3 linked regions of the Arabidopsis thaliana genome follow. The protein of the gene in region 1 interacts with the protein of each later gene in a pairwise test. Each region holds a gene or a part of one and is shown on either strand. Other genes may lie near its edges.

Region 1 (9,461 bases):
ACTTCTAGATCAAACCAAGTTGATTAAAACATCCCTATTCCCTACGATTCTGATCTTGAGATATATTATCATGTTAAGATCTAAATTGACAAGAAAACTGATTTTTCATTTCTAGTAGGAAAAATAATTACTATTAGTGATCATGATTGTCGACCGTAAGAGGTGGTTTAGTTACTCTCCATCTTTCTTTGAAGAAGTCAGAAAGTCAGAAATTATATCAAATTAAACATCAATATTGAACACATATATCTGTATGGTTTTATGTTTAGAAAATTCCAATATTTATATATTCCTAGGGAAAAAGAAGCTTATTCTTCAAATTATTGTTATGAGTCGTTAAAATATGGATAAAAATATAAAGTCTAAATATTAAAAACTCAGTTTGCTTTGCTTTTACCTCTCCAAGTCTCCAAAGTCAAATTAATTTTAGTTAATTAAACCAAAAAAGGTTTATTAGTCAAACTTAGCATGCAATGCTGGGTACCAAACCCAAGCATTAGTCTCTTTTAATCTTCTTTTTCTCCAATAAGTTTTTACAATTTTTAATTGTTTGCATTTCCCTTGATTATTTATCTTCATCCCAATTTAGCTAATACCAACTCCGTTTCTTATTCTTCCAAGTCTTTTCCTATAAATACGTTCTTCTTCCCCTCTTATTTCATATCACTCACCACAAAGTCTTCTCATTTCCTCATCTTCTTGTTGAAAGTAATGGCAAGACTCACGAGCTTTCTCCTTCTTCTTTCTCTCATCTGCTTTGTCCCTCTCTGTCTCTGCGACAAGAGCTATGGAGGCAAACTTTTCCCGGGTTATTACGCCCATTCATGCCCACAAGTCAATGAGATCGTGAGATCAGTTGTAGCTAAAGCTGTTGCTAGAGAGACACGTATGGCTGCTTCCTTGTTGAGACTTCATTTCCACGACTGTTTCGTTCAGGTTTAGTTAATTTCTTTTACGTTTCAACATTTTATGTTGTTTTAAGTTTACTTGCTAAACAAGGTAACTGTGAAATGTAGGGTTGTGATGGCTCTTTGCTTCTAGACAGCAGTGGAAGGGTAGCGACTGAGAAAAACTCAAACCCTAACAGCAAATCAGCTCGTGGGTTTGACGTAGTTGACCAAATCAAAGCTGAACTGGAGAAACAATGCCCTGGAACTGTTTCTTGCGCTGATGTTCTTACCCTAGCCGCTAGAGACTCCTCTGTTCTTGTAAGTTTCCTCCACAATCTCTATTTTCTCGAACCAAAACTGAAACATCAGCTAACTCGGTTGGTTTTTGGTTTAGACCGGTGGACCAAGTTGGGTTGTTCCATTGGGAAGAAGAGATTCAAGAAGTGCAAGCTTGAGTCAATCGAACAACAACATCCCTGCACCAAACAACACTTTCCAGACCATTCTATCTAAGTTTAACCGTCAAGGACTTGATATCACTGACCTTGTCGCTCTCTCCGGTAAGCTTTCGTCACTCTATCACAGTTTCTTGCTTCACACACATGGAACACAATTAAAAAAAATCCATTATACATTACTTGCTTCTCAAGCCACCACACTTCTCAAATGTTATCTCAGGTAGTCACACAATCGGATTCTCGAGATGCACGAGTTTCAGACAGAGGTTGTACAACCAGTCCGGAAACGGCAGTCCAGACATGACATTGGAACAATCCTTCGCTGCTAACTTGCGCCAACGGTGTCCAAAATCCGGTGGGGACCAGATTCTCTCGGTGCTAGACATCATCAGCGCCGCGAGCTTCGACAACAGCTACTTCAAGAACTTGATAGAGAACAAGGGGTTGTTGAACTCGGACCAAGTTCTGTTCAGCAGTAACGAGAAATCGAGAGAGCTTGTGAAGAAGTATGCAGAAGATCAAGGAGAGTTTTTTGAGCAATTTGCGGAATCGATGATCAAGATGGGAAATATCTCTCCCTTGACAGGTTCTAGTGGCGAAATCAGGAAGAATTGCAGGAAGATTAACTCTTGATTGAAACAAGAAAACTCTTCTTATATCTTGTGGAACAAATGTGAGACATTTACTTTTACTTTGGAGTGTGTTTTGTTTGTTTTTTTCAATTCTGTCATTTGGAAGTTTTATTTCGTGTTATTTGCGTTGTGTTAAGACATAAGTTTGAAATTTATAAAACTTGTACGAGGAAATATTTTGAAATTATAAACTTTAAACTATTATTGGGCCTAACCGAACCTAATAATTTATGAATTCAGAAAACACTAAATCTTAAAACTGATAGGCCCATAAAGGCCCATTTCACATCCCACTAGTTAGGGTTTATGCTTTCTTCTCACATTTCAGCTTCAGATGCACTGACATGAATTCTCAACGAAGCTAAGATCAATTCGATAGAGAGTGAAAACTATGAGGAATCTGCGAATCATCTCCTCTCACTTCTCACGAGTTTTGAAATCCACCGAGACACGCTCAAGTTCCGTTCAATTATTCACGATCCAATCTCGGAGCTACTCATCTCCGGCGACGCAATCGGAGAACGTGTCCAAAATCGTCAATGAGCTATCGAATCTCACTCTTTTGGAAACAATGGATCTTACTGAGATCCTTAGGCAGAAGCTAAACATCAGTGAATTGCCTGTGATGGCGGCGATGATGCCAGGGATGTCATTACCGGGATCTGGAGCTAGTAAATCCGCCGGCGGAGAAGGGAAAGAGAAGAAGAAGGAAGCAAAGACTGCGTTTGATGTGATGCTTCAAGCGTACGATGCAGTGTCGAAGATAAAGGTGATTAAAGAAGTGAGAACGATTACGGCATTGGGGTTGAAGGAAGCGAAAGATTTGGTGGAGAAAGCTCCAACATTGTTGAAGAAAGGAGTTAGTAAGGAAGAAGCAGAGAAGATCATTGAGAAGTTGAAGGCTGTTGGAGCTAAAGTTGCTATGGAGTGACCATTTTTAGGTACCTCTATACTTTCGATTGCTCCTAAGCAGATGGATTAGCTAGCTTTAGTTTGTTTGATTATGGGAATAAACAAGCTTTGAGATTGTGTGAGCTTGGTGTTGAATTGTTAGTGCTTATTAGGTTTGAGAATTGGAAATGAACATTAATTTGATTCTGGAATTGCATAAAGTTGCTTGCTTTGTTTTTGTAAGGGGAGTAAAGTTCTGAGCTTGACGTTGAGTTTCATGAAGGGCCTTTGAAGTTTCTTGTCGAAATGTACAGAGCAAGAGCAATTAGAATAGCTTTTGTAGTCTATTGGGAAACATGTGAAATTGCTTGGTCTATAAACACTTTTAGTAGGTATTCTAGCATCTGTATGATTCGTGTTTGCTTCATATGCTTAAGCTTTAGGTTTTGACATTGCAGGTGTTATTAAAATGGAGCATGAGCAAGAACAAATGAAGCTTCTGCTGAGTAGTCCTTCCTAGTGTTTATTACAAATGTAAGATGTGATGGAAAGTCATCAGCAGCTCTTTTCTTTAGAGATAGAAACAGATTTTTGTCTTCTATCAAATATACACGAAGGCTTGTTAGAAGCAAAGTTCTCTCTTCTTTGGATCAATCATTCTCTCAGTTCTTGGTTTGTACTAACAGTTGATGATTTCTTTCATATAATAATGAATCATGTTATTTCCAAATTTTCAAGTTTTATGCTCAAGCTTTTCGTATGGTTAAACTGTAGAAAGAAGCTGTTCTTGTTTTAAAGATAGCAACAGATCAAGAACTCGACCTGAGATCTTACAATTCGTTTGTAATCACAATATTATAGGAGATGTTATACTTTATCGTCATGGAAACGCCACCTAGTTTCTTTGGGAGATCTTCCATGTTTGCAGTTTTTCAAGTAATGGTCATTGTCTTTCGGCTTTTGCTGTAAGGAGAGAACAATAAACATCATAAGAAGAAGATTATTCTGTGAAAGCCTTTGAAATATGAGAAGAAGATAAAACACACAAACCTTCACGGATGAGCTGGAGAGCATTGAGAGAATGCTGAGACAGATGGAACTTAGTCTCATCGCCGGTGACCACGAATCATACAAGACATCTGCATAATCAAAAGAACACATAGAAGGGTCTTGTCATTGGACTTTGAAACAGAGTGAGTCATTGTGTTTGTATGTACTTACCTAAACAAATGTGACCGTTGCTGTAAATATGAGGATGAAGTGGAGCTGGATGCTGAAAGATAACCTGTTTTATATGTGGAACCATCGGGTTATGAGATTGATGCGATGATTAAGTATCGTTAAGTATTAACAAAAGGAGTTAGAGGACGAACCTGTGGAGCTTCCATAGGATAATGCTCAGGGAACTCAACTTGAAGTTGGTAAGTTTCATTGGCGTAAAGAGTTCCTGGAACTCCATGCACTTCAATGATCCATCTGTTTACACCAACAATTCAACATTACATCACCGATTATCAATATTCGAAGGAAAGACAATAAAATGATTATGTACCGTTGGAGATTATCAGAGACTCTGTGCTTGAAACCAGAAGGAGGATTGGTTTGCCACTCCATGAACTCTTTCTGCAACCGGTTCGTGGCGATTTTGGTCAGACCCTAACATAGTAAGAACAAGAGAGAGATGATCAAACCAAAGACAACAATGGAATTATAACCAAAAAGGTACTGTTATATTTAGTTAAAGAAACAATTAACCAACCTTGCGAGTTGATTCAGAAGAACTCGTCATTTGTGTTTATTACAGTGAGTGTGAGAGAGAGAGATTGTGTGTGTTTTGTCTCCTTAGCCATATCCAGTGAGCTTTTTATAGTGTCTTATCATCTTTGCAATGTGTCTAAAGCGTTTGGGTCTATGTCCAGTCATCAATCCGACGTCGTTTTTATTGTGTCGGCTCTCTTTAATCCGGGACTTTCCACTTGTGTTGGAGAAGCGAATCTTACACGCTTTTGCTACTCTCGCGATCATGATCAAACCAGTTAGGAATATTATCATAAAACATTCCAATATCTATTTCGGAAAACCAAATTTCTTAAATTAAAAATCTCATACCATTATGAATATCTGAGTTATGTAAATTTTAGGATAACCAAACTGATGCATGCATATTATTGATATTAACCAAAAATAAGAATTGATACATGCATCAGGTAAAAGTTGGCTTGTAACATTATTTTAATTTATTTCCGGTTTATGGATCCATCATTCAACGATGCCTTGGATTTTTAGCGATGATATATTGCTTTCATTGTCTTATTGCCCTTGTCCTTCTGATTATTTTGAATGGATCGATGGTTACAAAAGTTGTAAGCAACTTGATTATATATCAAAACTGACTAGTCATAATTACAATTATGATGCATGATGTTGTTGTATGCATTGGCTTCACCTTAAACCAAAACTTGTACACATTTGTTCCATGGAAACTATGGTCTATGAACTATGGTAATACGGATCTTATATTCCTATCTAGTTAGGTCCAACTTAGGTCTCAGAAGAATATATACTTGGTAGAACTTAGAACAAATATGTTAAAATCTATAGCTTATCTCTTAAATTAGAGAAGTTAGTTAGACTTATACAAATCAATCGGACCAGATATTATTCCGGTTTATCTGACCGATCTGGTTTCTCCTAGTAAGACATTAAAGAAAGGTAATACATGAAGTAAAAACAGAACTATGGGGAAAAATAAAAATAAAGTCTTTTTGTGAACAAAATAAGAAAATCCATTACAACAGAAATTCCAAGAATAGAAAGATATTATGTGAAGATTCTTGAAAATACTATTATTATAGATTATCTTTTCGAGTTTTGGTCTACATACACTGCAAATTTTAACTTTAAATACACGTAAGATCAATAGGTTTAGATTCTTTCTTATCCTTTACTAAAAAGATATTAAAACAAGGTAACAACAACAACAACAACAAAGAAGAAGAAGCGAAGCATATACACTTTTGAGTTTAAAGACTTTTTAATCAGCACTTGTATTTTTGTTCCTTTGCATCAATCATATCGCTCAAACTTGGCTGCTCATGTTCCAAATTCCTGTTTGAAGAATCATCTCATCACCACCCTTGCATTCGCCGAAAAAAGAATGTCAATGATTCCAAAGTAAAAGATGATGATTCTTCACTTTTGACGTTGGAAGAGCATTCATAGATAGAAAGATAGATGCTTTCAATAATTTCGGTGCGTAATCATAAAGCATAATAATCTTTTACCTTAGTTGGAGAAGAGAGAGTGAGGAAGAACTTTGTAAGGGTTGAGAATTCCCTTTGGGTCCAGCAACTTTTTAATGGAAGCCATTAATGCAACCTGCATAATATTATATTCCGGTAAGAATAGAGTGACACGATAGTTCTATACATAGTTTCCATACGTTGTTTGTTGTTAACTTACAGTTTCGGGTGATTTGCTGTAGAAGATTTCATTAGCTTTCATTACACCTAATCCATGTTCCGCACTGATGCTTCCACGGTGCTTTGATGTCCACTCATAGACATAAGGCTCTATCAAACCTAAAAGCTGCAAGAAAAGAGTGAATGAATGATCACTTGAACATCTTGGAATGTTTCATATGGATATCAGAATTTTACCTTATCGTTATATTCCGCGGCTGAGATGTTTAAATGTAGATTTCCGTCTCCAAGGTGACCATATCCCATAACATTTGCTAAGTCACCTGAAGCATTGCATATTTGGTTGCAGTTTTCATTGAATCTTTCGGTTTCAAGTAATTAGGAGACAATGTATTGATATATATCTTACCTAATCTCCCTCGAAGATCGTTAACAATATTGTAAATTTCTTCAACCGGTAAGGATAAGTCATACTTGTAAACAGCTCCTGCTTTCTGTAACGCCTCTGTTATACCCTGCAGGGTTATGATTATGACTTTATTCGTCGTGTACCATCAAGCTTTTTCAGAGGAAATAACTCTCAAGTGTTTTACCTCTCGTATGCGCCAAAATGAGGATGCCTGGTTAATGTCTTGAGCGATTACACCATCAGAAACTAAACCTTTTTCCAGTGACTTCAACAGGAAAGCTTCAAGCTTCTCCCTGCATTAGTTTTTGAATCAGACAAAAACTCTCTCAAGGGATCTGAAATACTTAGAATTCATTTAAATGGTACTGGAAAATTGTGAAAGTCACAGAAAGACCAGAAAATTCTCAATACCTGTCATTAGTTTCATCACTCCCTGTTGTCTCGATCAGAATATAAAAGTTCTCCGAAGAGGAAACTGGATTACGTACACCGTCTAGGTGGTTCAGTACCTGTTGAATGAATTAAAAACAGAAAGGGTTTAGCAAAATCAAAGCCTTGTGCACAAGATAAAGTGTCAGGAATGCAAACAGTTCCTATTAGTAACTTCCTAAAAGCTTACCAAATCCATGGAATTGTTATCAAGAAACTCGAAAGCCGAGAGTATCTCTCCAAGATTTCTCTTTGCTTCAACAAGAAGTTTCTGCAAACAAAGGAAACACAATGAGAGATAACAGTTCACGCACTATCTCCTCTGTAGATAGAATTCAATTACAGGAGTACAAAAGAAATTGTATTAAACCTGGCAGCTGAGATAATCTTTGCAAGCAATGAAGGCTAAATTTACAGAAGACAATTTTGGTTGTGTGAGAATAGAAACTTTAGTTACAATACCAAGTGATCCTTCACTACCTGTGGAAACCAGTAAAGAGAAAAAATCAAGATGATTTAGTCTATTTTGCTGATGAAGTGATACTTGAAATCATTGTACAAGCACAAGCCAATATAATACCTACCAATAAACAAATGTTTTAAGTCGTACCCAGTATTGTCTTTGCGTAAAGTTCCAAGCATGTCAAGCACGTTGCCATTTGCTGTGACAGCTTCTAGACCTGAGATGAAGAAAATAAAAATGATGAGAACATGAAATCCAAATGTTTTCAGATGGATCGAAAGTAACTAAAACTGTAAGTCATTACCCAATACAGTTCCATGAAGTGAGCCATAACGGATTAGACGCAAACCACCAGCATTAGTTGAAACATTTCCACCGATATGACAGCTTCCTTTTGCACCTAAGTCTAGAGGCATAATAAAACTGAGGAAGCATAAATTTATGTTGCTACATCTGACAAAACAACCGAGCTAGTTGAGTAATAATGAAACACTCTTCTATTAATTTTCAGTTCATTGTTGCTAAAAGAAGGTACGAAGACATGGTTCTATTACCCTTTTGTGTCAAGGAAAGTTGCCAGATTTTCTAATATGCATCCTGCTTCACACACCAAGACGCCACTAACCTGAAGATAGAGCATCGTATCATCATCAAGTATATAATTATATTGCTCAAAGTAACAATGAAGCAGCAGTTGATCTAAATATAAGATTGCCAATTACCTCATCAAAAGATAAGATTTTGTTCATCAGACCAACATTGACGATCACCTGAAAAGATGCCACAAATTAGTCACGTTTATGATTTCATTTCTTTCGGTATATCTCTCACATTCCTGAAAATTTTCTTTGCTCGCTTTTCTACACTACCTATCCAAGATTTTTGACAGTCACCAATCAACATGAGTAGAGAAACAGTATAGAACCTCATCAAAGACAGGCACACTTCCACCAACAAGACCAGTGTTTCCTCCTTGAGGAACAACTGCTAAACGCCTCGAATCACAGTACTCAAGTATCTGAGACACCTGCATTAAAAATAATCTATGTTTAACACAAATAGTCATCGCAATCCAAACAAAGTAATACGGTAGAGACTAGAGAGAAATAAAACACCTCTTGTGTATTCTTGGGCAAGAGCATCAGCTTACTAGATCCTTTGTACTTATGCATCCAATCTGTATTAGCAGTCTCAAGCCTTTCTTTATCTTCAACCACGTTTTTTTCACCTAATATCTCCTTAAAGTAGCTAACATCTTTCGAATCCAACGACGAAAACAAAGGGTTTCTCTGAATTAAAGAAGCTGCTGATGATCCAAAACACTTATACTGCTGAAGAAGCATCCCCACATTTCTACTAATACATGGATGATGAAGCTCTGTCTTATAGTTCCCATCACTTAGCTCAAAAAGCTTGCCTTTTGATTTGTAGTGATTCACAAAGCCTAAACCCATAATTCAACCAATAAGATACACATATCCAAAATAAAAATAATCTTATCCTAAAATGTCAAGTTTCTAAAGAAAAGATCAATATTTTTTTATCTAATTACAAAAGCAAAGTTCAATTTTTTTCATCTCTCATTCTAATTACAAAAGCAAAGTCAATTTTTTTCCATCTCTGATCTCTCAATCTAATTACAAAAGTCAAATTGGAGATCAAACCTGACACAGAACGTGACACTGAGTCCTTGTTTGGTCGGCTACTAATTAGAGATTTGCATCCAAATCTTATGAACTCCCCCGATCTTCTCAATTTCTGCATCATCATTCTTCTACTTCTCCACGTCTTCTTCGTTCTTACCAACAAAATGTTCGTTAAAAGCGATAAAGCAGAAGCTGAGAGCGAATGTCAATATTACCCCTGA
Region 2 (10,993 bases), on another chromosome or scaffold:
TCTGGATGTGAGGTAGGCTTGAAGGACTTCTGGCAATTGCTGGCGATATTTGTGACACATGGAATAATGTGTTTCGTAGGATGTGTGGAAGGATTTTCAGACACTAACTTAGCTGCTTCTCTATTAATAGTCAACCAACTAAATATTACAAGAAGCTACAACTTCACCACGTTTCTTTTCTCTGTTACAGGATGCATATCTTCCTCAGAGGCTTCTGGACAAACTGATGTTTATATATAATTATGTCGAAATGGCTCGTGTAACTGGTGTCCCTATTTCATTTCTTCTTGCGAGAGGACAGAGTATCAAGGTAGTTCTCAACTTCTAGTTTCTGGATGTGTTTCAGTTTAATAAGGTGGCTGATATATTGTGTCTTTGCTTCTAGGTTTTATCTCAGCTTCTTAGGAAAGGCAAACAGAAAAATCTGGTTCTTCCAAATGCTAAACAGTCAGGGTCCGAACAAGGAACTTATGAAGGCGCAACTGTAAGTGGGTGATTTATGGATCTAACATTTCCTTTTGGCCTATCGGTTGCATTAATTCCACTGTTCCGACATGTTTGTTGTTTTGGATATGTCAAACGATATTCAGGTTTTAGAAGCAAGAACAGGTTTCTATGAAAAGCCAATTGCAACTTTGGATTTTGCTTCACTGTACCCGTCAATTATGATGGCATATAATCTGTGCTACTGCACCTTGGTAATTCTTTTGATATTTTCTTTTCAATTTCTATTTATTTTATCATCTATTGTTTATACACCTTATTAATTTGGGAGCATTATTTCCATGTTCTTGTCTTTGAAGGTGACACCTGAAGATGTACGCAAACTGAATCTTCCACCTGAACATGTCACTAAAACTCCATCAGGGGAAACATTTGTTAAGCAAACTTTGCAAAAGGTTTCCGCATTTAGTTAGATTTTTATTATCCTCAAGTTCCGCAAATTCTGTTGAATGAGTTCTTTCAGGAAATACAACCAATTAATAAATTCAGGGAAGACAGCAGTTTATTAACAAAATGAATAATTTATTTCAGGGTATACTTCCAGAAATTCTCGAAGAGCTTCTTACTGCCCGTAAGAGAGCTAAAGCAGATTTAAAGGTAAAACATTTGATTCCGAAGAAACTCTTGCAGTGTGTGCGTATCTGTATACAGCCTTTAACTACTACTATTGAAACTGGTATTGTCTAATCTAGGAGGCTAAGGATCCCCTTGAGAAGGCTGTTTTAGATGGTAGACAGTTAGCGTTGAAGGTGAACTTCTTTACTGCCAGCTTCTTTAACTTGGTCATTCAGAAAAATGATTACAATCCTCGGAAAATTTCGAACAATATCCTCCCTGTAAATTGCTCTTTTACATTTGTTTTCTATTTTTTCTCAGATCAGTGCAAATTCTGTCTACGGGTTTACGGGAGCCACTGTTGGGCAGTTACCATGCTTAGAAATATCCTCGAGTGTAACTAGCTATGGTATTTCTTTTGTGAAACTGCAACTTTTCTAGACACGTAGCCTTTTAGGTTCGTTCTGATGGATTTGTATCTTTTTGAAGGTCGTCAGATGATTGAACAAACAAAGAAACTTGTTGAAGACAAATTCACAACACTGGGAGGGTATCAATACAATGCAGAGGTACATGTTCATTGAATTATTCGTTGTATTGAAAAGACTTGAGTGAATCATTAAGTTTGCTCTTAGATTTCTCGAATTTGATGGACTATGATGTATTAGGTCATTTATGGAGACACGGATTCAGTCATGGTGCAATTTGGAGTATCGGATGTAGAAGCTGCGATGACCTTGGGGAGGGAAGCTGCAGAACACATTAGTGGAACTTTTATCAAAGTAAGTGATTTTCTAGGAGCATGTCTTAAACTTCTCCGGTTCTCCCTAATCCTTGGGGTAGAGGTGCAAGATTACGTGATTTCTTGAAAACAAAATATAACAGGCTGAATCGTTCTCTGTTTCTTGATTGTGTATGATGTCATAAAGCCCATCAAATTGGAGTTTGAAAAGGTCTATTTCCCATATCTTCTCATTAACAAGAAGAGGTATGCTGGTTTGCTATGGACAAATCCTCAACAGTTTGACAAAATGGACACCAAAGGTAAATCTTCGTGATTTTACAGCCTCTCTCTTATTCATTTCCTGACTAAATTTCAATATCACCGACTTTGGCAGGAATCGAGACAGTACGAAGGGATAATTGTTTACTGGTTAAGAACCTCGTGACTGAGAGTCTTAACAAAATACTTATTGATAGAGATGTTCCAGGGGCAGCTGAAAATGTCAAGAAAACCATTTCGGATCTTCTCATGAACCGTATTGACTTGTCACTTTTGGTGATTACTAAGGTAATATGTTTTACTTGATTTATTGTCCTGTGATGTTTGTATCGCCTGAAAGTGTATTTTAATGATTAAAGCCATCTGTTAAAACTAAAACAAGAATCAAATGGATAATGCTCCTGATGTGTTTCCTCAAATCATAGGGTCTAACGAAAACAGGAGATGATTATGAAGTTAAATCAGCTCATGGTGAACTTGCTGAACGCATGCGTAAGGTTTGTGGTACTCTTTATCTATTTTCGTCTATCATTTGCAGGATTAAGCATTTTCATTACATGTTAAGATAACTCTTGACCGTTTCCGTTCGTGAAGAAACATGTACAAATGTGTCTAGGGGAATTTTCGTTCCTTTACTCTAATTCCAGCATCTCATGGACACTCTCAAACTGAAAAATGGGAGTGCTAAACAATTAAATTTTAATTTTTGGCTTGTATAATATTTTAATATGGTTCTTTGGTCGTCTTTTTATAGCTGCACAAGTGCAGGGATTTTTCTTAAGTCATGCATAATTTTGCTGAATATATGAATTTTTTTTCCGGCTTTTTGGTGAATATATAATATCATACAAAGGTTGCTCTGAAACTTAGATCTGTTTTACGGTGTCTGATGATCTATCATGTGAATATGACAGTGTTTGCTTACATATGTGACAGAGGGATGCTGCTACAGCGCCAAATGTTGGAGATCGAGTACCGTATGTTATCATAAAAGCTGCTAAAGGTGCCAAGGTAGTTTTCATGTCAAGCTTGTGTTAGCTTTTCCATAAGATGTTAAGGTCATTCTCTTCTTCCGTGCTTATCTCATTTTGACGTCTGATAGGCTTATGAACGATCAGAAGATCCAATCTACGTGCTACAGAATAATATCCCTATAGACCCAAATTACTACTTGGAGAATCAGATTAGCAAGGTCAGTTCAACATGGCGTTTGTGTATAAGTTTATTCTATACTCTTTATTCTGGTGATTGTAGGTTAAAGGAGATGTTGTTTTCAGCCACTTCTTAGGATTTTTGAGCCAGTCCTGAAAAATGCTAGCAAGGAGCTTCTCCATGGAAGTCACACGAGGTCAATATCAATCACTACTCCTTCAAACAGCGGTATAATGAAGTTTGCTAAAAAACAACTGAGCTGTGTTGGCTGCAAAGTTCCGATCAGGTACTTTGTGGTCCCTTGCCTATGTATTATCTGTTTTCATATATGGGATCTGTTTATCAATATTCGCTTTTAACTTCAACCAGCAATGGAACACTATGCGCAAGTTGCAAGGGAAGAGAAGCCGAGTTATATTGCAAAAACGTGTCTCAAGGTATGCTGCCGTTTTTCCCTTTCCTATAGACTCTTTGATATATCTATAAAATTTGATACTTTCGTTGTGTTATTCAGTGGCTGAGCTTGAAGAGGTTTTTGGGAGGCTGTGGACACAGTGCCAGGAGTGTCAAGGCTCTCTTCATCAAGATGTCTTGTGCACCAGGTTTGCTTATATTTTTATCGATATCAATTTCTTTTAGAAATCTTTCAGCAGGTAAATAGGTTCTGATCCAATTTCCTTTCTGGATTTCTTATTGGTCTTTTACAGTCGAGATTGTCCAATATTTTACCGGAGAATGAAAGCACAAAAAGACATGGCTGTAGCCAGGCAACAACTCGACCGTTGGAGCTTCTAATAAGTATTTAAGGTTGTTTTTAGCTCTCTCTTTTTTCCATTGGTATCGTTGCTGTTACACTTTCCGCTTGATTTAGAACTTGTAGGTCTCTTTGGAATGTTATAAAAAGGACCTCTTCGGCTTATTTGTACGTAGCTGTTGATTAATACAAAAAGAGAACTCTTCTCGCATATCTCCTTGTTTCGGCAGGCTAAGAATTACATATGAACTACAACTCGAGATTTATGCTTTACAATTCTTCTGCTTGGACTGTACAATGTTCTACAGAAGTATAAACATGAAGCTCAAGTGCTTAACCATATAATTTGTCTCATCTCTAAGAATTTTTCCGAGTCAAGTGTACAGCCTTATCCTTGTTGTTATTGGTTGTCTGCATAGTGGGCATGTTGTGATAACAACTCCGCATTCCTTGCATGTCTTTATTTGAAATAAAAAGTATCGGAGATGTCACAAAATCGATCTAGAAGCAGTACAGTTCATAGAACAAGTAAGAGTATAATTGTTCCTTTGAAATTTTCACATACCGTGTGACCGCAGCTAAAAGCCATGTCCTTTGGATTCGTCAAGCAAATCGGGCATACCTTTTTGAAAAACAAAAGGAATGTAAATCTCAGTATCAGAGAAACTGAGTATACTCATTGACAAAAGAACAGAAACAAAGGCAGAAATAATAGAGTATTTACCGGCACTGTGGAAGGAGCGAGTCTGTCACTTTTCTCTGCAGTTTCTGTCATCTGATTTGGCACCGATCTAACAGCATTGTCACGCTCTATAACCTCTGGTGGTGGCGGGAGTGGCTTGTGGTGCTGATGGGAACTGCGCACTGGTTTTCTACTGTTCATAAGCACAATCAAAGGTTGGTTTAGTTGGCAAAGAATCTAATGCAATAAGACCATAAACAGTGAGTGATACAAGTAGTTTCCAACGGTAAATTTTTTATTGCATTTACTTGAGACTTAATGTAGCCTTGTATTGAAAAGGGATCTCCATGAGAGCTGCGAGTGCGAAAGCAGCCTCCTTCTTAGCCGCATCTTTGTGCTCTGACATTATCTTCGTGAAGTTTACAAACTGTGGAACAAAACACAGTTTTTCATGATTCATGTTTCAGGAACAAAACAGAGCTATTCAGGGTTTTATTATATTACCTGGAAGTTATCGAATTCACGGTGAGGAATATTGTCATCGAATTGTTTCATTGTGTCCCATGGTCCATCTCCTACTCCAACCAAGACTATCGACAATGGGTAATGGCTGGAAAATTTATATCAAACATCATTAGTATACATATGAAGTCTGATCATGAATATGAGCTTATTGAATAGTTTTACCTCGCTGCCATTATCGAGTTCATAGTAGCTTCTTCCTGTGGACTAAGTCGACCAAGCGGCACATCTGGATTTCTTGTGACCTGACCATCTGCGATAATGACGAGAACATGGTATTGCATATTGTTCTGCTCAACTATGTTGATGGCAGCATCAATAACCGGTGCAAACGAGGTAGGACCTGTGAGGGAAGAATACACTGATTAATCTTTACGATAAGAGAGAACAAAACTGCTCCATTTTTGAAAGTTCAAAAATACCGGACAACTTCAAATGTGGGACAATCTCTCTATATCTTTTAACTGCGTTTTCCAATCCGTCGCAGCTTTTGTTCTCGGGATAAAAGCTGAATACATATTGATCTCGCGTTGTTACTGCAGGAAGAAGAAAACATAAAACCATTAAGAACTTTGGTTTATCTTATTCATTCATCTTGAAAGCAAGAAATAAGAAACTAACCATCGCCAAAACCGAAACAAGGTATAAGATCATCTTCATCAAAGGGAGACAAAGTACGACCAATAATCGATATTGCTTTCTCATATGGATTCTGTCTTTTACCAATGGCATGAAGGCTTTTTCTATTGAATGAATATCTCCCTGCAATGAAAATTCAGAACATTAACCAAAACCATTGAATCTTTTCGTAAACATGTGTAGCATTTTTTATCAAATCAAATAATTACCTGTCCACTCATTGCTCTTGGTAAAGTCAATTCCTAGAATCAGATTTGAAGATTCAAGTCCAGCTTCTCTCAGAGAAGTTATCACCTAAAAAGCAAAGTTCACAAGAAATTCATCACTATGAAAGAGACTAAAATCAAGAAATAACTAAGTAAGTTTATGAGACCTGATCCAAACTGCTGAAATGATCAGCAATATACGAAGGTTGCTGATTACGTTTATTGCTCATGTTCATTGAAAAAACCCTGCAGCACAAGAACCTTCAGAAATCCAATCTTTGGAGAAGAAACCAATCAAAATCAAGAATAAAAGATACAGTTACACAAGTGGCAAGTATATATCAACCTGGAGTTTGTTGAAAACACAAAAGACTTCTCGGAATCTTTCTTGTAAGAAAAAACTTTTGTTGGAGATTATCTTCTGTAGGAAGATTAAATTATTAAAAAGATGGCACAAAAGAGAAATATGAACATATAAAAATACTTTAGCAGAAAAAAATGAACATATAAAACTATAGAAAGTGGGTTTTGTTGAATCTTGAAAGTTAGTGGAACGTGACCCTTTGCTTGCGCCGGCAAATAATCAAAACGTATTTTGCTCTCTCACACGCCATCATCAATCTAGAAATCTTTTTTAGTCTTGTCTCTGCGTCATTAATGATTTATCCATAACCCAAAATCATAGACCAAATTTCAACATGATTCATGTGGACAACGTGGCAAAGCTGTAGCTCTTGTCTGAAGAAAATTATTTGGGCTTTTGATTCCCTCAAAATATATTAACCCAGAACCGTTTTTATTGGGCTTCTTCATTCATCAAGAAGCCTTTTTGTATCTTCACCACCTATAAATTCACTTATGTTTCAACCACAACATCCACGTGCGATTAGCCCAAAACTCAACAACCAATCTACGAAGATCACTAAAGTTTTTTATTTTTATGATTTTCACCGTTTGTACTTGTTCTTTCAATTGGTGCCACATGGACCCCTAAACCAACAGAGCAAATATGGCCTTTCTTGATCTAAAATAAAGTTTAGGGTTTAAGTTCAGAGAATAAATAAGTACACTGGTGTAAATGGGAAATTCAAAAAAGTAATAATAATTGTCTCTGCAATCAGAAAATGTGAAGACATATATTTATCTTCTTGAAAAGCGAATGATGTCTATAAATTGTTTTCGAACAGCGAAGGCTCCGCTTCAATCATTTGTAGCAGTAAGAACGAATTCGAGACCTAGAAATTCATCGAACCGTCTCGTTTCTGTATTCGGACGCAAGTCTTCTTCTCCTTCATTTGTTACTCTCAGAGTTGTTTCATCGATGGCTTACGAGAAAGAGCTTGATGCTGCTAAGAAAGCTGCTTCACTCGCTGCTCGTCTCTGTCAGGTTAGGGTTTTTTCGATTCAATCATGACCCATAGATTCTAAAGTTTGATTCTTTAAGAAACCCATTTTGTAAATCTTCCAAATTTCGTTTAACATTTTGTGTTTATTGTGCATTGCATCTGTAATTGGGAATAGATTCTAGTGATATAGTGTAATGGTCCTCTACATACGAAGCTCGTGTAAATCTTTGATCAAAATCTTATCTTTGTGTTTTGGGTTTGTTTCAGAAAGTTCAAAAGGCTTTGTTGCAATCAGATGTGCAATCAAAATCTGATAAAAGTCCAGTGACCGTTGCTGATTATGGTTAGTTTGTTATACCTGTCCCTGATTAGAAAAAGCTCTTCTCTTTGAATGTTACTGAGATTGTTAGGAAATCACTTAATTTGATCTGTCTTGTGTTGAATTTCAGGTTCACAAGCAGTTGTTAGTTTAGTCTTAGAAAAAGAGCTCAGTTCTGAACCCTTTTCATTGGTGGCTGAAGAGGTGAAACTGCTTAATAAATCCTTGTTAGATGTCTCACACTTTACTTATCTTTGAGTTTGTGTTTATGGACTCACATTGTCTAAAATGATCTATATAGGACTCAGGCGATCTACGCAAGGATGGTTCTCAGGATACTCTGGAGCGCATCACAAAACTCGTGAACGACACTTTGGCTACCGAGGAATCGTTTAATGGCTCTACTTTGTCTACTGATGATCTACTTAGAGCCATTGACTGTGGAACATCTGAAGGTGGTCCAAATGGTCGACACTGGGTCTTGGATCCAATTGATGGCACTAAAGGGTACGTTTTAAAACTAACTAGCCTAAAGTCAAATCTTCTTATTTCAGAGAAAATGTAAATTTGATAGAATGTTGAGTCAGATGTTATGTTCCTGACACTGAGCATTTTCATGATTTTAGATTTCTGAGGGGAGATCAATACGCAGTAGCACTAGGATTGCTCGAGGAAGGGAAAGTAGTTTTAGGTGTGCTTGCTTGTCCAAACTTGCCGTTAGCATCCATAGCAGGAAACAACAAGAACAAATCTTCGTCAGACGAAATTGGATGCCTCTTCTTTGCTACAATTGGTTCAGGGACATATATGCAGCTCCTAGATTCAAAATCTTCTCCTGTAAAAGTGCAAGTCTCTAGTGTTGAGAATCCTGAAGAGGCATCGTTCTTCGAGTCATTCGAAGGAGCTCACTCTCTACATGACTTATCCAGCTCCATTGCCAATGTAAATTGCTTCTTTCCTTCCATGTGATTCCAGCTAATAGCTAACTAATTTTCCTCATCCATTTGATCATGTTCTATGTTGTAATATACAGAAACTCGGTGTCAAAGCTCCACCAGTCCGTATTGATAGCCAAGCAAAGTATGGAGCTTTATCAAGAGGAGATGGAGCTATATACTTACGGTTTCCTCATAAAGGATACCGCGAAAAGATTTGGGACCATGTCGCTGGTGCTATAGTTGTTACAGGTAACATTAAAGCTTACTCTCTATGAAGCTAATTTTATAGTGTCGACATGCGGATGTAAATAGATAAGGAATGCAAGGTTGATTCTTCTTTTTGGTGCAGAGGCGGGTGGAATAGTGACAGATGCAGCAGGAAAGCCACTGGATTTCTCGAAAGGGAAGTATCTTGATTTGGACACAGGCATTATCGTTGCTAACGAGAAGCTAATGCCTCTGCTTTTGAAAGCAGTTCGTGACTCCATAGCTGAGCAAGAGAAAGCTTCAGCTCTCTGATTTGTTTTTTTCTCTCGTACGTTCTTTGTTTCTCTGTAACTGTTGTTTCATTTTCTTTCACCGAATTTCACCAGTGAGAATTTCTTCCATTTTCGAAAAAGAAATAAAAATGAAATTCTGTTTTGGGCTAAGTATAAAGGGTTATGTAGAGAATTTAATATGGACCAGTAACGGGCCGTAAAAAGGCCTTTTAAGGGTTACATGCATGATGCACCGACGTACGTGTCTACAGTGCGTAGATACTTTATCTTAATACGAAAGTAAGCGCGTTAAGTAGAAAATCTCTTCATATAGAAATAATTAATATGGTGTAAATAGTTTTTTTTTTTCTTTGGTTATAGTATAACTAAAATATTATTGTGTACCATCTTACAAAAAAATATATATTATTGTGCAACTTTTAGAAATTCGTGATTTTATTCCCAATAATATCCCATTCACGATGAAAGGAATCGTTGAGACTTTGTAAATAATTAAATGTAGTCTAGTGATCTAGTCAAACTTTATAAAGGGGCGATCACAAATCTACTAGTCGCACAATTTTTTTTAATCTTTTCATGTGAATAATATATACTAGCTGCTTTGTTTTTAATCCATGTTACAAAGATATTTTGTGTTAATAATGATAAGTTGTTGATATAACACACAATAACCTGTTTTCAGCGAAAGATTTGACAAGACCTGGCCACACAAAAGGTACACACGTCATTTACAATATCTATAAAAGCAATTTGCAATATAATTTAATTAAGATTAGCATACCTCTAATTATTAATTTAGTAAGCTAGTATAAAAGAAGAGGGAAAAAGGAAGAAGAAGCATATAACCTCTTTGGAATAAAAGCATATCAGAAAAGACTAAACAAATACAACGAACCCAAAATAATTTAATTAGAAAGTTGAGAATCATATACTATTTCTTGCCAAACATAAAATTAATCAGGATTGTTATCTTCACCTACAAAAAGAAAGCAAACTTACCGAAATTACATATATATTACTAAATAAAATATAAAAATCTGAATTCATATAAAATGAAATATCTCTCTCTAAGAAAATATCTTCCTATTGGACCAATTCATTCTTGGATTGTTTACATGTATTTATGTTTTCCTCATTTGGATTATAGCAGTTTTGCAATATGCCATCTGAAATCTGCAGAGTATTCTAATAATAATAAAACTTTTTAAAATGTACAAAATTATAAAATAAAAATAAAACTATTAATTAAAAAATAGTATAAAATTTTGGTGAGTATAATAAACAAAATAAAGAGAGGAATGAGACAACGTGAGAGAAACTTATCATTGTCGCAACGGTAGGGGACTCTATACTTTGCCTACTTTTCCACAACGGTAGAGAGATTGGCAAATAAATACATTTTAAATACCAAAAACCAAACTATATTCAATCAACTAATTATTATTTTATTAGTATTACGTATATTTCTAAATCAAAATAAAAATTGGGAAGAGAAGTTGCTTCAGAGTCGCGAGAGGTTTTTCCATTCATATCATAAAAATCGATTCTTTCAGAGATTTTCTTCTTCAACTTCGTGGTACTCTTTTGCTTTACCCATTTTTCAATGTCTTACGATGAGATGCTTTCTGCTGCGAAGAAAGCTGTTTCTCTCGCTGCTCGTCTCAGCAACGTACGATCACTCGTTTCTTCCGTCTTTTGGATCATCACATGATTGATTCTCTGCGATTTCTCGATTTACATTTTAAACCATAAATTCTTCTCTTTTTTCTTCTTCTTATTGCTCGTTGACATTTGCGATACGTGTTCGAGGAGAGTTAGATGTTTTCTTTGAACTCTTTTGTGGAGTTAAATGTGTAGACTTTTTCTTCTTGTT
Region 3 (11,426 bases), on another chromosome or scaffold:
ATAAGCCAAGCTTATAATAATTTATTTTACTATTCAATTTGATAGTCCCCTTTCTTTATTCGTTATATTATATATAACATAATTTCTTGGCGAATTATGACAAAAACAAAAAAAACAAAAACAAAAAATTATCGGCGAGATGTTAAGAGTTGAGTGGTCAAGTTTCACAATTCTCTGCAACATGTGGAAGCATAACGTACTTATCGTGGGCCACACGTGAGCGGTAGACTTCTCAATTTGAGTAACCAATTAAAATGGGCTTTACTTAACGGCCCAGTATGAATTTATAAGCAGAAGTGTCCATGTTGATATGTCGCATGTACTTACATCAGCAACTATGTATTTATATTGTGCTTCAATTATTATTGGTCATAGTTTAACACAAAAAGGCCCGCACAGATACAAATCTTAAACAGTTTGTTCAAAAAGACAAAAACAAACAAGAAAAAAACAATTTCTCATTGATCATCAAAGATCAGATCTCTTGACCACACATTATATATTTTCAAAAGTACTAGTTGTTTGTTTTTAATTTTGATGTAATAATTCTCACATTCTCAACAAGATCGATCAAAGTAAGCAACCATGGCGGATTCGTTGGCACCATTGTTGCCCACCCACATTGAAGAAGATGAAGACACTTCTTCACCTCTGACTTTCGACAAGATCCTCGAGAAAAGCTTGTCTGATTTCGGATTCTCGCAGTTCTTACAGATAGTTCTCGTTGGGCTCGCGCTAACCTTTGACTCTCAGCAGATATTCATCACCGTCTTCACAGATGCATATCCCACGTGGCACTGTCTTGACCACACGATCTGCAATCCGGCAACTACCGATATCTGTAAGATTCCCCGGTCAGCTTGGGATTGGGACGGTGGTTTCAAAGGTAAATCAGTCATTTCAGAGTTCGATCTCGAGTGCTCCAGCTCCTTCCTCAGAAGTCTACCTAGTTCAACTTTTTATGTGGGTTCTATCGTTGGTGGAGTCGTTTTGGCTATGATCCCTGACGGTTCCTTGGGACGGAAGCAACTTCTTTTTTTCTCGAGTTTCGCAATGTCACTCACTGGAATCTCTATTTTCTTATCCTCCAACATATGGATCTACTCCTTCTTAAAGTTTGTGATCGGATTCGCGCGTTCTCAGACCGGGACATACGCGTTAGTTCTGATAAGTGAGCGAATTTCCACCAAATGGAGACCGCGAGCTACTATGGTTCCGTTTACTCTGTTTGTGTTAGGGTTCATGTCGTTGTCTGGAATCGCTTACCTTGTCCGACACGCTTCTTGGAAAGTTCTCTATCTATGCACATCCATTCCTGCAGGAATCCACAGTATTTTCATCTATTTCTTTGCCCTAGAGTCACCGCGTTGGCTCCATTTGGAAGGGAAGAACAAAGAAGCCATTGAAGTGCTCAAACGGATTTCACCTGCAAATAGAGGTTACTTGGAATCCGTATCTTCGAGGTTACGTCCAAAAGAAACACTAGAGCAAACTTCAAGCTACTCAATCAAAGACTTGTTCATTATAAAATGGGCTTTTCGAAGAGTCACACTTGTTATGATCATAATGTTTGGGTTGGGAATGTCGTATTATGGAGTTCCATTAGCGGTTAGAGACATAAAAGTGAACATTTATATGAGCGAAGCCCTAAACGCCATGGTGGAGTTACCAACATTTGTTGTTACACCGATCTTGCTCGAGCAATTCAGCAGGAGAAGCTCTGTGCTTGTAAATTGCTTAATTGGAGGAGCATCAGGAGTGCTCTGTTTCGTAATGAGCCTTTACGGAAGAACAAAAATCGCTTTTGCTCTCGAACTCGGTTCTTTCTTCTGCGCTAGGATTGGATTCAATTTAATGGCGATTTATTTGGTTGAGTTATTTCCTACATGCGTGAGGAATAGTGCAACAATGATGCTTAGACAAGCGCTTGTGGTTGGAGGAGCTTGTTGCCCACTCATTGCTTCGCTTGGAAGAAATGTGCCGTCACTCTCTTTTGCAGTTTTCGGATTTGCAATGTCGGGTCTCGGGTTATTCGCTTTGCTTCTTCCTGAGACCAAAGGGTTAAGTCTTTGTGATACAATGGAAGAGCAAGAGCAAAGAGACCAAGCCTTGAAGACTAGCCATAGTTGCTGAAAGCAGAGTTTTTTGAAAAACCTCTGTTCTTTTATTGAACTTTCGTATAAAACCTCTGTTTAGCTCCGGTTAATCAAGCCATATGTTGATTTTCCGAGTAATTAATATGCGAAACCTACAATGGCATGTATTTTTTATAAACTGAACCATTTCATTTTCTTGATTACAAAAATCTGCATAAACTAGGAAACGTTTGCTAATCATCTATAAAGCTATCATGTGAATGTCTCTGTCTTTGAACTACTAATACAGAAGCATTTACATCTAAAGACGAAGCCAAGAAATCACCGACAGTTCCAAGCTCCGGACACTCTTCCCAATCTTTCATTCTCACCGTCATAGGGCAATCTCCTGTGCTCTTTCCGACCACAAACAGTGAATACATCTCTCCAATCTCTCTTAGAATAGTCAGCGTATGCGGTCCATTGCTCACTAGCTTCTCTATGAACCCCACTTGTCCCGTTGTTACAAATCTGTTGCACAGTGGAAAATAATGTCAAAAGTAGTTTCTTTGATGGAAACTGAACTTTCCCTAGCTTAGATAAGAAACAAAGAAACAGAGTAGCGGCGGGAAACAGAGCTCTTCTCAGAAACAGAGTATACACAAAACAGAGCAGTGATAAAAACAGGGTATAAGTAAGGTACCTGTTATAGAATTCTTCTAAGAAGCTCCGATCTGTTTCTTGTTCAGTTTGATTCCTTCCCAGAACTTCCATGAAAACCTCATTATTATCTCGTGTCATAGCATTTCCAACAGGAGTCTCTGCCTTTGATTCCTCGGAGACAAACTGTATAACTGTGAGATGAATCAGAGTATTATTCGCGAGCCATCTGCACAGAGCAAGAGCCTCACGATCATCCGGACCACCAAAGAACAATGTCGCGACGTGTTGTACAGAATCAAACCCGTGCGGCTGCTGAAATCCGGTTATGTTACGGTCCACAAAAATGCCAATGGAACACGGACCGTGCCTTAGAACATTACGGTTCATCTGTCTGAACAGTTCCCCATCGTTTGTAGTCTTCCCATCGATTCTCTGGTGTTTATGAAACGGAAGAAATACAATGGAAACTCGAAGATCCTCTGTTGCGTTACAGATCTCTTCGTGCATATTAAGCATCTGAGTCACGAGCTTCACTTGTTGGATCAAGATTTTGCTGTCTTTAGCAAACGAATCAATCGAATCGTTGATCTCTAAACCTTCGTTGGTCCCGAATTCGTCATCTCCATTCGCATTGCCTCCATCTTCGTCGTGCTCATGATACATCAGTTCCGATTTTCGTTTCTTGGGGAGGGGTACAAGGTGCATAAGCAGAGGTGTAAACGGATCAGAGGCTCCACGAGAACCGCTCAAGGCCGAGACAAGAGAGATCGCACCGCGAGCATGACGGACTCCATAGGCGCACGATAAAATGCGTAATTCCTCGTTCGTGTTATGAGACTCAAGCGAAGTCTTCTCGTAAGCAAAGTCCTTCTCTCTTGTTTTAAGCAAGAAAGATGCCAGAACACCACTTACTAGCGTCGTTATCACCAAAGCAGCCACCATCATATCATGAATAGTTGTGGTCCACCATTTCTACAGGTAGATTCAGACAAAGAATGGGAAAAAAAGAACCATAAGTTTTTGTTATTATATATGTTAATTGTTCGTCTGTTCTTGACCAAAATATACCAGACCCTAAAACATGTGTAACATTTTTTGTTGTTTTGTTGTGGGTGTGCAATAACAGACACTCTACAATTGAACAAGACTTAATGTGAATGGTATAAAAGTAGCGGAATCATATAAGTAAACGTACCTTTTCGGAATAGTTGGAGTCTAGAAGAAGAAGACCGACATGGCCTTTAACAGAGAGAATGGTGGGTAAGAAAAGCCAATATTTCTTAGGGATCTTCAGGTACATACAAGCGCTTATTACACCAATAAATTTCCCAGCTATGGTTACAATCACGATAATAACTATACCGAGGTAAAAGCGTTTGGTTAACGCGATGATGCTGAATCTGAATCCAATGTAACCAAAGTAAACCGGAAGAACAAACTCGTGAATCGGGTAACTAAGCCGTTGTATCAACGTTCTGTGAGTCTTTCCTTGTCGTGGAAACATTATGCCAATGGCGAAAACAGAAACCGAGGAATTTACATCGTAGGATTCGATAGTTATACCGATGATGAGAAGGAAGATGAAGAAAACTAAAGTTTCAGCCTTTGAGAGGTACTTCTCTTTAGGGTTCCTCTTTGGAAGCCATGGAGCTAAGACCATGTTGATCAATATTAGGGCTACGGTTGCCAAAAGAAACAAGAAGAGTTCAAGTATGATAGTTCCAGAGATGAACGCCATGATTATAGTGTAGAGAACCACGTTTGTTAATTCGATGAACAACGCACATGAGATTGTCAGCCGTCCGATCTCACATGTGTTGAGTTTCCAATCAGCGATTGAACGGACTACGACAGGAGATGCCGTGTTAGACAAGGTAACGAGAAGAACCAAGAAAAACGTAAAGTAATCTTCTTTGATCCCAAACAAAGGGATGAATAACATTAAGGAAGCGAAACTGAGGAGGCCGGAAACCACGAATGAGCTCAAGGTTATCACCGCAGCTTTCTTGAAATTTCTTCTCATGAAATGTAGATCCACTTCAAGACCGATCAAGAACATGAAAGATGTCCGTAAAGCGAAGGAGAAGAAGGAGTAATAATCTGCTGCATTTTTCTGGAGGAAGAATTCCTTAACTTTAGGTATTCTTGAGAGCAAAACAGGACTCAACACAATCCCAGCCTAAAAAATATCCAATATGGATAACAAAACAAAAACTTGTTAGACATTTTCCACTACAAAAAACCGGGTGATTCTTGTAACGCAAGAAAGAAATTTCCTTACAAGAATCTGGGCAACGGGACCAGCTTGGCCGCAGGGTTTAAGAAGGAGATAAAACAATTGAGAGAAGACGAGAATGCAAGCCATTTGAATAAACATGGTATTAAGGGGATTAAACAGTTCATCTCCTTGAGGTAAGCAAAGCAACAACTTTGGATCCATCTTCTTCTTCTTGATTCGATGATCATGAGCATTCTTCAAGCGTGATGGTGATGATACGCTTATGAAAATTAAACCTTATGTTAAAAAAAAAACTGAAAATGCTTTCTAAAACAAGAATTTATAATTTTCACAAGTAATTTAGAAATTAAAAAAAAAAAAATTAGTTTACATTTGGTTGGAGTTGATAGATGTGTTTACAATTATTTGAACGTCCTTCAATTACTCTACGCCTCTATTTCAACCCTTGGAAAACGGATTAAGTTGACTGTAATCAGAAATTTTACCCAAAAAGTTTACTATAATTAGGTTATTATATGGTCAATAATCAACAGATTTAACACCATAAGTCCATAACATATTTCTTATCTTTTGTATATATATGGGAAGTTAATTTTTGTGTTTTGTAAACAAGTAAAACATAATACAGATGCTAGTAAAAATGACAATTTGCAAATTACCTCTTAGCCTTACAGGGTGTTGTTTAACCAAAAGAAAACTAGAGTGTTCATGGCATAATAAAAAACAAACTATAGGGGCTGAACTATAATACACATACTGTTCAGGATACAAACGAAACATGAGAATAATATGGGGTCCAAAAAGTAAATAAATAATCAAATAGGAGTTCTTTGCAATTAACGCTAAAGTGCGAACCTGTAAGTCAAATCATGAACCCTAAAAACCCCAGGTGAGAAGAACGGAGAGAGAGAGAGAGATGTCGTTCATGTATGAGAAGAGCAATACATGGAGATGGCTAGTGATGAAGACGCGAGATTCGAGATCCTTCTTCTTCACGTTCGCTGCTTTATGTGGTGTCATTCCTGGCGTTATTGGCTATGGAGTTATGCAGGTCACCAATTCCAGTAACCCTGAGCTCGAAGCCCGCCTCCGTAAATCTGCTCGCCCAGATACTCTCGTATGTAGTTGGTTTTCTTCTATTGATGCTAATCGGTGTTGAACTTGATGGTTACAATTTGTTCGTACATAGTTCCTATAGTTGTCTTGCTTGATGTGTGGAACTTTTCTTGGAGGATGAGTAGAACTTTGCTTGATGATGATTCTTTCTGCTACTTTGCAAAGCTCCTATGGGATTGGGTACCTAGAGGTTAGAGGTGTTTAGGCCTCGATATGTTGAATTGAGCATTTGCATTTTCTTGTTGCTAATACACCAATCCATTGTTCTGTGTTAACAAGGAATTTCATGTATCTGAGTTCTTGCTCTGCTTCACAATGTCGATTCAATTGGAAGTTTATTGATCACAGCCGTATGTTAACCTTAGGCTTATTGTTAATCTTCAATCTTTTTGTGTTATGATGAACAATACATTTCTGTTTTTGTATTGTTAGATGATGGGTAAAGTAAACCAAGAGAGGCTAGCTGAATATCTTGGTGAGTTGAAACAGAAGCAGGATACAAACGACAGATACGTTGCTGCTCTTAGGGGAGAGACTCTTACCAGGAAGCCTTATCAAAGAATCCAACCAATGCCAAAGCCAGATGACACGGTGACAACCAAAACTCAGTAAGGATGAATTATTTTAAGAGTCAATGTTAGTGAATGCCTCTCACTCGAATCTTTTGTCGATACAAAAATGGCGTGTTTCCTGGCCGTAATATCTTTTGTTTTTGAAACCGGCATCTAGCGACACAACTTTTGTGCTATGCAAACGGCTACAATGTCAATCACTTCAAACCTTTTGTTATGATGAATAAAATGTAAAACTTATGTTTTGTAATTTGTACATTGCTTCTTCATTCTTGTTTGCAAAGTTAATGTTTTACAGTACATACAGAATTACATGGTACACGCTGATTGTGGAACATTGTCAGAAACACTTGGCAAACCAAATTGTAGATTCTACAAAGGAGATGGCTATGTGCAAGCGATTTGTTATGTGCAGAGATAAAGTTTGTTGGCATTGATCACGTGTAAAGCCGTGGTCAGAAAAAAAGTTCGTGGCCATTGATCATGTGTAAAGCTTTAGCCGGTTCGTGATCCTTACTCGACAGATCGGGCAATTTGATATTTTGGATCCGCAATCTCCACAAGTCTGCAAAAGGAAAATTGCAAAGGTAAGTTAAAACTGGTTGTTGATTAATGAATGGGTTTGAGTAAACTAAAAGCAATCGGTGAAACTTACCATGTGGCCACAGCTGAAAGCCACGTCTTTTCGGTTAGTCAGACAAATCGGGCAACTCTGTTAAACGGAAAACCATATGAGATTGGAGTTGATTCGACAAGGCAGAAAAATAGTAAAGTATACAAATTATGAGACCTGGGTTTGTTCAGGTGATGCAGGTGATGCAGTTGATGGTAGTTCAGCATTAGTTGGAGGTGTGTACGGAATTGGTGGTGGCCTCGGAACTATTGTCTTCGCTAAGCCCGTCTGCTTCCTTTATAGACGGGTGCAGAAGTGGACAGGGACCAGCAGAAGCAATTAGACAAAAAAAAAAAAAATAGAGCAGAAAGACGGTAGTTCTGTTATGCTGAGAACTTATGGAAGTACCCGAGTAAGCGGAGTTCGATGGCTGCTTGATACTGAAAGGGAATCTCCATTAGAGCAGCTAGAGCAAAAGCAGTTTCTTTGGCAGACTCTGGTGAGTTTCTCGTCATAATCTCTGTGAAATTCACAAACTATGCATAGACCAGAGATCAAGAAGATGCTCAAAGCAGAGAATATAGATGGAAAATAGCACAGAAACTGGGAAGATACCTGAAAGTTGTCGAATTCACGCTTAGGGATCTTATCATCGAACTTCCTCATGTCTTCCCATGGTCCGTCTCCAACACCGACTAAAACAATCGACAAAGCATACGAGCTGTAGATAATAAAGGAATTTCGAAAAAGGCTTGTTTAGATACCGCAAATCGAGTTGCGAAAAATGAAAAACTGAATCTGCATTTTTTTACCTTGCATTTACAATCGCGTCGATGGTTGTTTTCTCTTGTTGACTGAGTTCTCCCTCGGCCATATCCGTACCTCTCGTTACCTTAACATTCAAAAGGTAGCCTTTTAAGTTTTGGTATCATACTTTGTTTCTCTTAACTGCTTGTAACTTTACCTGTCCATCTGCAACAATCACCAGAACATGGAATTGTCCGTTGTTCTTCTCCACAATGTCGACAGCAGCATCGATGAGCGGTCCATACGACGTTGGCCCTTTTGAACACGGAAGGTTGTGATTTGGTGATAAAGCTATGGAAGGTAGTATTTAGATTTTCAAAGAAAGACCTGATAGACGCAAGTTGGGTGCAATTCTCTTGTAACATGCTAAGACCTCTTCGAAGCCATGACATGGAGAATTGTCGCTATGGAAACCGAACACTTCCTCGTCATGAGTTGTTGCTGGATAGTGCAAGAAAACAGAGTCTTAGAAACAGAGAGTGAACTGAAGATGATATTTTTGGGAAAGAAAAACTTACAATCGCCAAAGCCGAAACAAGGGATGAGATTGTCTTCATCAAAAGGAGCCAACGTTTGGCCGATTACAAAAATCGCCTTTTCATATGGATTCGAAGTTTCGCCGAGCGCGTGCAGACATTTTCCATCGAAAGAAGTTTTCCCTGAAACAGAACGTTAACCACTTTTTTGTTTACAGTTGCAAAAATATATATGTGAATTTAACAATAAGTTGTATTTGCTGAAGGTACCAGTCCACTCGTTGCTCTTTGTGAAATCAACTCCGAGAATGAGATTGGATGATTCAAGACCAGCTTCTCTTAGAGCTTTTGATACCTTTTAAACACCATTCACTAGTTAACACTCAGTAACAACTCTCCATCTCTAATTAGTTTCCAGACAATTTTTTTACTCAAAATCATTTTATGTCCCAATGTCAACGAATGAATGGAGGAGAAAAAAAATAATCATATACATCTATTAGACTTTTGAAGAACTCAAAGAACATGGAAGTAGCAGAAGACATGGTGAACCAAAAGTCAAGTCAACACAAGAAATTGAGAGATACAAAAAAGAAGAGAACCTGGTCGAGGGAAGAGAAGCGGTCAGGGATGAGAGCGTACTTCTTCTTGGTGGCGTTGGTATTATCGGCAAGGGAGAGTGAAGGATCCGACGGTGATGGTTCATGAGATTGAGACGACGTCGTTCCCAGAGTCATATTTCTACTGCTTCTGCTTTTTCCACTTCCAAATCTCTTTAAGAAATTCCCCATAGTCATCTCCTTTCTTCTTCTTCTTCTTCTTCGAATTGGAATTCAGATTTTTTTTCTTCTCTTGATAATGGATAGAATCTTTTTTTTTTTGGGCTGGAATATTTAAGAAGACTACTCTTCAAGACGCCAAGGAAACATTTATTGCTTCACTGTTCTTTATAATTTTATTAATTTCATTCTACGCGGCAACAATCATTACTTTTCTATGTCAACCACTAATTGTTGTTATCTAAGTATTTTTGACGCGGCCAGATGGGGACTTAAACATTTATTTACTGAACCCACATGAGTTCGAACGAAAACCTAGAAAAAAATTAAACTATATATTATACACTGAAGATCTTATGAGATTTGATATAAATATAGGATCATTAATGCTAAAAGAATGACTTTGTGAACAAGATGGAATTAGATACTCTTCTTATGTGCTAATCTCAACTTGCAAGTTAATTTCTCCATTTTTGCACTCAACCCGTTTCTTTACTTGAAGCTTACTTTGCTCAAATTAAAACGGCAGAACAATACTGGGCTGGGCCTTTTATGAACGTTATGGGCTATATTCCTCTTCAACTTTTCCTCAAGACAAAAACTTTATTCAAATTTTACTCATACATGACAATAGCAATTGAAATGTGGTGCCGTTAACCGGTATGATCAAGCTGGACCGGTCCAGAGTTTCGGGTACATGTTTGGATCTAATCTGGGCTTCACACAAGCCATCAAAGGATTAGCCATGAACAGATTTTCTTTTGACTCGACTAGCTCGACTCTGTCCGTCGTACCAGGAGGAATGGTCCAGTCGAACCCTTGGAGAAGCCTACCCAACAACGTAACAATCATGGACGTTCCAAGCTTAGCTCCAACGCAGCCGCGTCTACCAGTTCCAAATGAAACAAGTCGTAAGTCTGGTTCAGTCAACACCACTTCGTTGCCGGTTATATGGCGCTCAGGCCTGTAGATGAGTGGCTCATCCCATGTCTTAGGGTTTCGACCAACACCCGGACGACTCACTAGAATATGACTGCCTGTGATCCACATCAAACAATCAATATATTAAAGTTAATAAACAAATAAAATAATAATTTGAAAGATTCGTATGTCACAATCTACTTATTTTCACTTTTCAGTCCAAAATAATAAATCAAAGGAACAAATATTCTAATATGAAAATATTGCTCAAATCAAGCAAAAATAAATATAGTTAGAATTCCTGATTCTACATTTAAGGAGTTGGAGTCAAATACGCCTAAATGCATAAATTTTGGGGAAAAATGAGATACCTTTTGGGATGAAATAGCCAGCGAGAGTTGTGTCATGACGTGCCATGTGAGGGACAAGGAAAGGATTGGTAGGGTGAAGTCTCAGGGTCTCTCTGCAACAAGCTTTGACGTAGTTTAGATTTGGTACGTCGGATTCTTGAACAAGTCTTTCTTTTCCGACAACCATATCGATCTCTTCCACCGCTTTTTCTAGAATCTCTCTCTGGTTCAACATTTCCGCAAGTGTCCACTCTATTACATTCACTGCATTATCAATCCCTACTACATCAAGATCCTGCCAAAACCAAAAAGAAACCATAACTTATCAGATATATAATATACAAACTAATTGGTAGTAATTATATGAGTATATTTCTATCACGAACCACAGAGAGATGTGTGATTTCTTGCGGGGTAAGCAACGGCTTCCCATTCTCATCTTTAAGAGTGAAGAGAATGTCGAGCCAATCCTTGATCATAGGAACATCATTCTTCGTCTCCGCACGATTGTAGTCTTTATTCTGCCCCCTCCACAACTCTATCTTCTCATCGATAATCATCTTATTGTACCTAGCAATCACATCAACGGCTTCTCTTAACTCAGCCTCCTCTCCCTGGAGGTTCCATCCTCTTAAGAAAGGGTAGTAATCGGCTACGTAAAAGCTAAAGAAACAATCAAGAGCCGCGAAAATTGCGTCAAAATGTTCTTTCTCCATAAGTCCGAGACTCCCGTCCATCGTCGTCTCCTTGAAATGTCTCCGACCAAACAAGAGTCTCATCTTCACATTGTGTGTGTGAGTGCACACAATATCTCT

The links.
Region 2: the proteins of UBC17 (region 1) and RGLG3 interact in a two-hybrid assay, tested with the Arabidopsis thaliana proteins (one study listed by BioGRID).
Region 3: the proteins of UBC17 (region 1) and RGLG4 interact in a two-hybrid assay, tested with the Arabidopsis thaliana proteins (one study listed by BioGRID).

The regions. Positions count from the first base shown.
Region 1 is NC_003075.7:17,197,168-17,206,628, reverse strand, and holds UBC17 (ubiquitin-conjugating enzyme 17), read right to left. Parts: upstream 4,708-9,461; 5' UTR 4,661-4,707; coding exon 4,631-4,660; intron 4,528-4,630; coding exon 4,424-4,527; intron 4,348-4,423; coding exon 4,245-4,347; intron 4,157-4,244; coding exon 4,093-4,156; intron 4,011-4,092; coding exon 3,922-4,010; intron 3,835-3,921; coding exon 3,739-3,834; 3' UTR 3,641-3,738; downstream 1-3,640. Other genes in the region: AT4G36430 (Peroxidase superfamily protein), read left to right, coding at 712-936, 1,017-1,208, 1,285-1,450, 1,569-1,981; AT4G36420 (Ribosomal protein L12 family protein), read left to right, coding at 2,372-2,911; D2HGDH (FAD-linked oxidases family protein), read right to left, coding at 6,157-6,249, 6,334-6,459, 6,531-6,616, 6,703-6,808, 6,887-6,995, 7,114-7,211, 7,322-7,402, 7,502-7,611 and 7 more. UniProt on the Arabidopsis thaliana protein: Accepts the ubiquitin from the E1 complex and catalyzes its covalent attachment to other proteins.
Region 2 is NC_003076.8:25,602,664-25,613,656, forward strand, and holds RGLG3 (Copine (Calcium-dependent phospholipid-binding protein) family), read right to left. Parts: upstream 6,644-10,993; 5' UTR 6,364-6,643; intron 6,325-6,363; exon of another isoform or gene 6,264-6,324; 5' UTR 6,254-6,263; coding exon 6,185-6,253; intron 6,106-6,184; coding exon 6,021-6,105; intron 5,935-6,020; coding exon 5,794-5,934; intron 5,709-5,793; coding exon 5,595-5,708; intron 5,516-5,594; coding exon 5,338-5,515; intron 5,261-5,337; coding exon 5,155-5,260; intron 5,078-5,154; coding exon 4,959-5,077; intron 4,844-4,958; coding exon 4,693-4,843; intron 4,591-4,692; coding exon 4,534-4,590; intron 4,427-4,533; coding exon 4,343-4,426; 3' UTR 4,108-4,342; downstream 1-4,107. Other genes in the region: AT5G63960 (DNA polymerase delta subunit 1), read left to right, coding at 191-310, 386-484, 591-698, 804-899, 1,036-1,101, 1,197-1,253, 1,381-1,468, 1,549-1,628 and 10 more; SAL1 phosphatase-like protein, read left to right, coding at 7,339-7,404, 7,631-7,706, 7,813-7,886, 7,984-8,189, 8,309-8,624, 8,716-8,869, 8,970-9,139; AT5G63990 (Inositol monophosphatase family protein), read left to right, coding at 10,724-10,789. UniProt on the Arabidopsis thaliana protein: Possesses E3 ubiquitin-protein ligase in vitro.
Region 3 is NC_003070.9:29,858,744-29,870,169, reverse strand, and holds RGLG4 (Ca(2)-dependent phospholipid-binding protein (Copine) family), read right to left. Parts: upstream 9,680-11,426; 5' UTR 9,359-9,679; coding exon 9,164-9,358; intron 8,917-9,163; coding exon 8,832-8,916; intron 8,745-8,831; coding exon 8,604-8,744; intron 8,527-8,603; coding exon 8,413-8,526; intron 8,341-8,412; coding exon 8,243-8,340; intron 8,171-8,242; coding exon 8,091-8,170; intron 8,000-8,090; coding exon 7,894-7,999; intron 7,815-7,893; coding exon 7,687-7,814; intron 7,574-7,686; coding exon 7,456-7,573; intron 7,378-7,455; coding exon 7,321-7,377; intron 7,231-7,320; coding exon 7,147-7,230; 3' UTR 6,854-7,146; downstream 1-6,853. Other genes in the region: OCT5 (organic cation/carnitine transporter5), read left to right, coding at 586-2,133; CHX2 (cation/H+ exchanger 2), read right to left, coding at 2,330-2,606, 2,779-3,710, 3,934-4,917, 5,020-5,178; AT1G79390 (centrosomal protein), read left to right, coding at 5,894-6,094, 6,526-6,705; CYP79C1 (cytochrome P450, family 79, subfamily C, polypeptide 1), read right to left, coding at 10,007-10,377, 10,633-10,906, 10,998-11,426. UniProt on the Arabidopsis thaliana protein: Possesses E3 ubiquitin-protein ligase in vitro.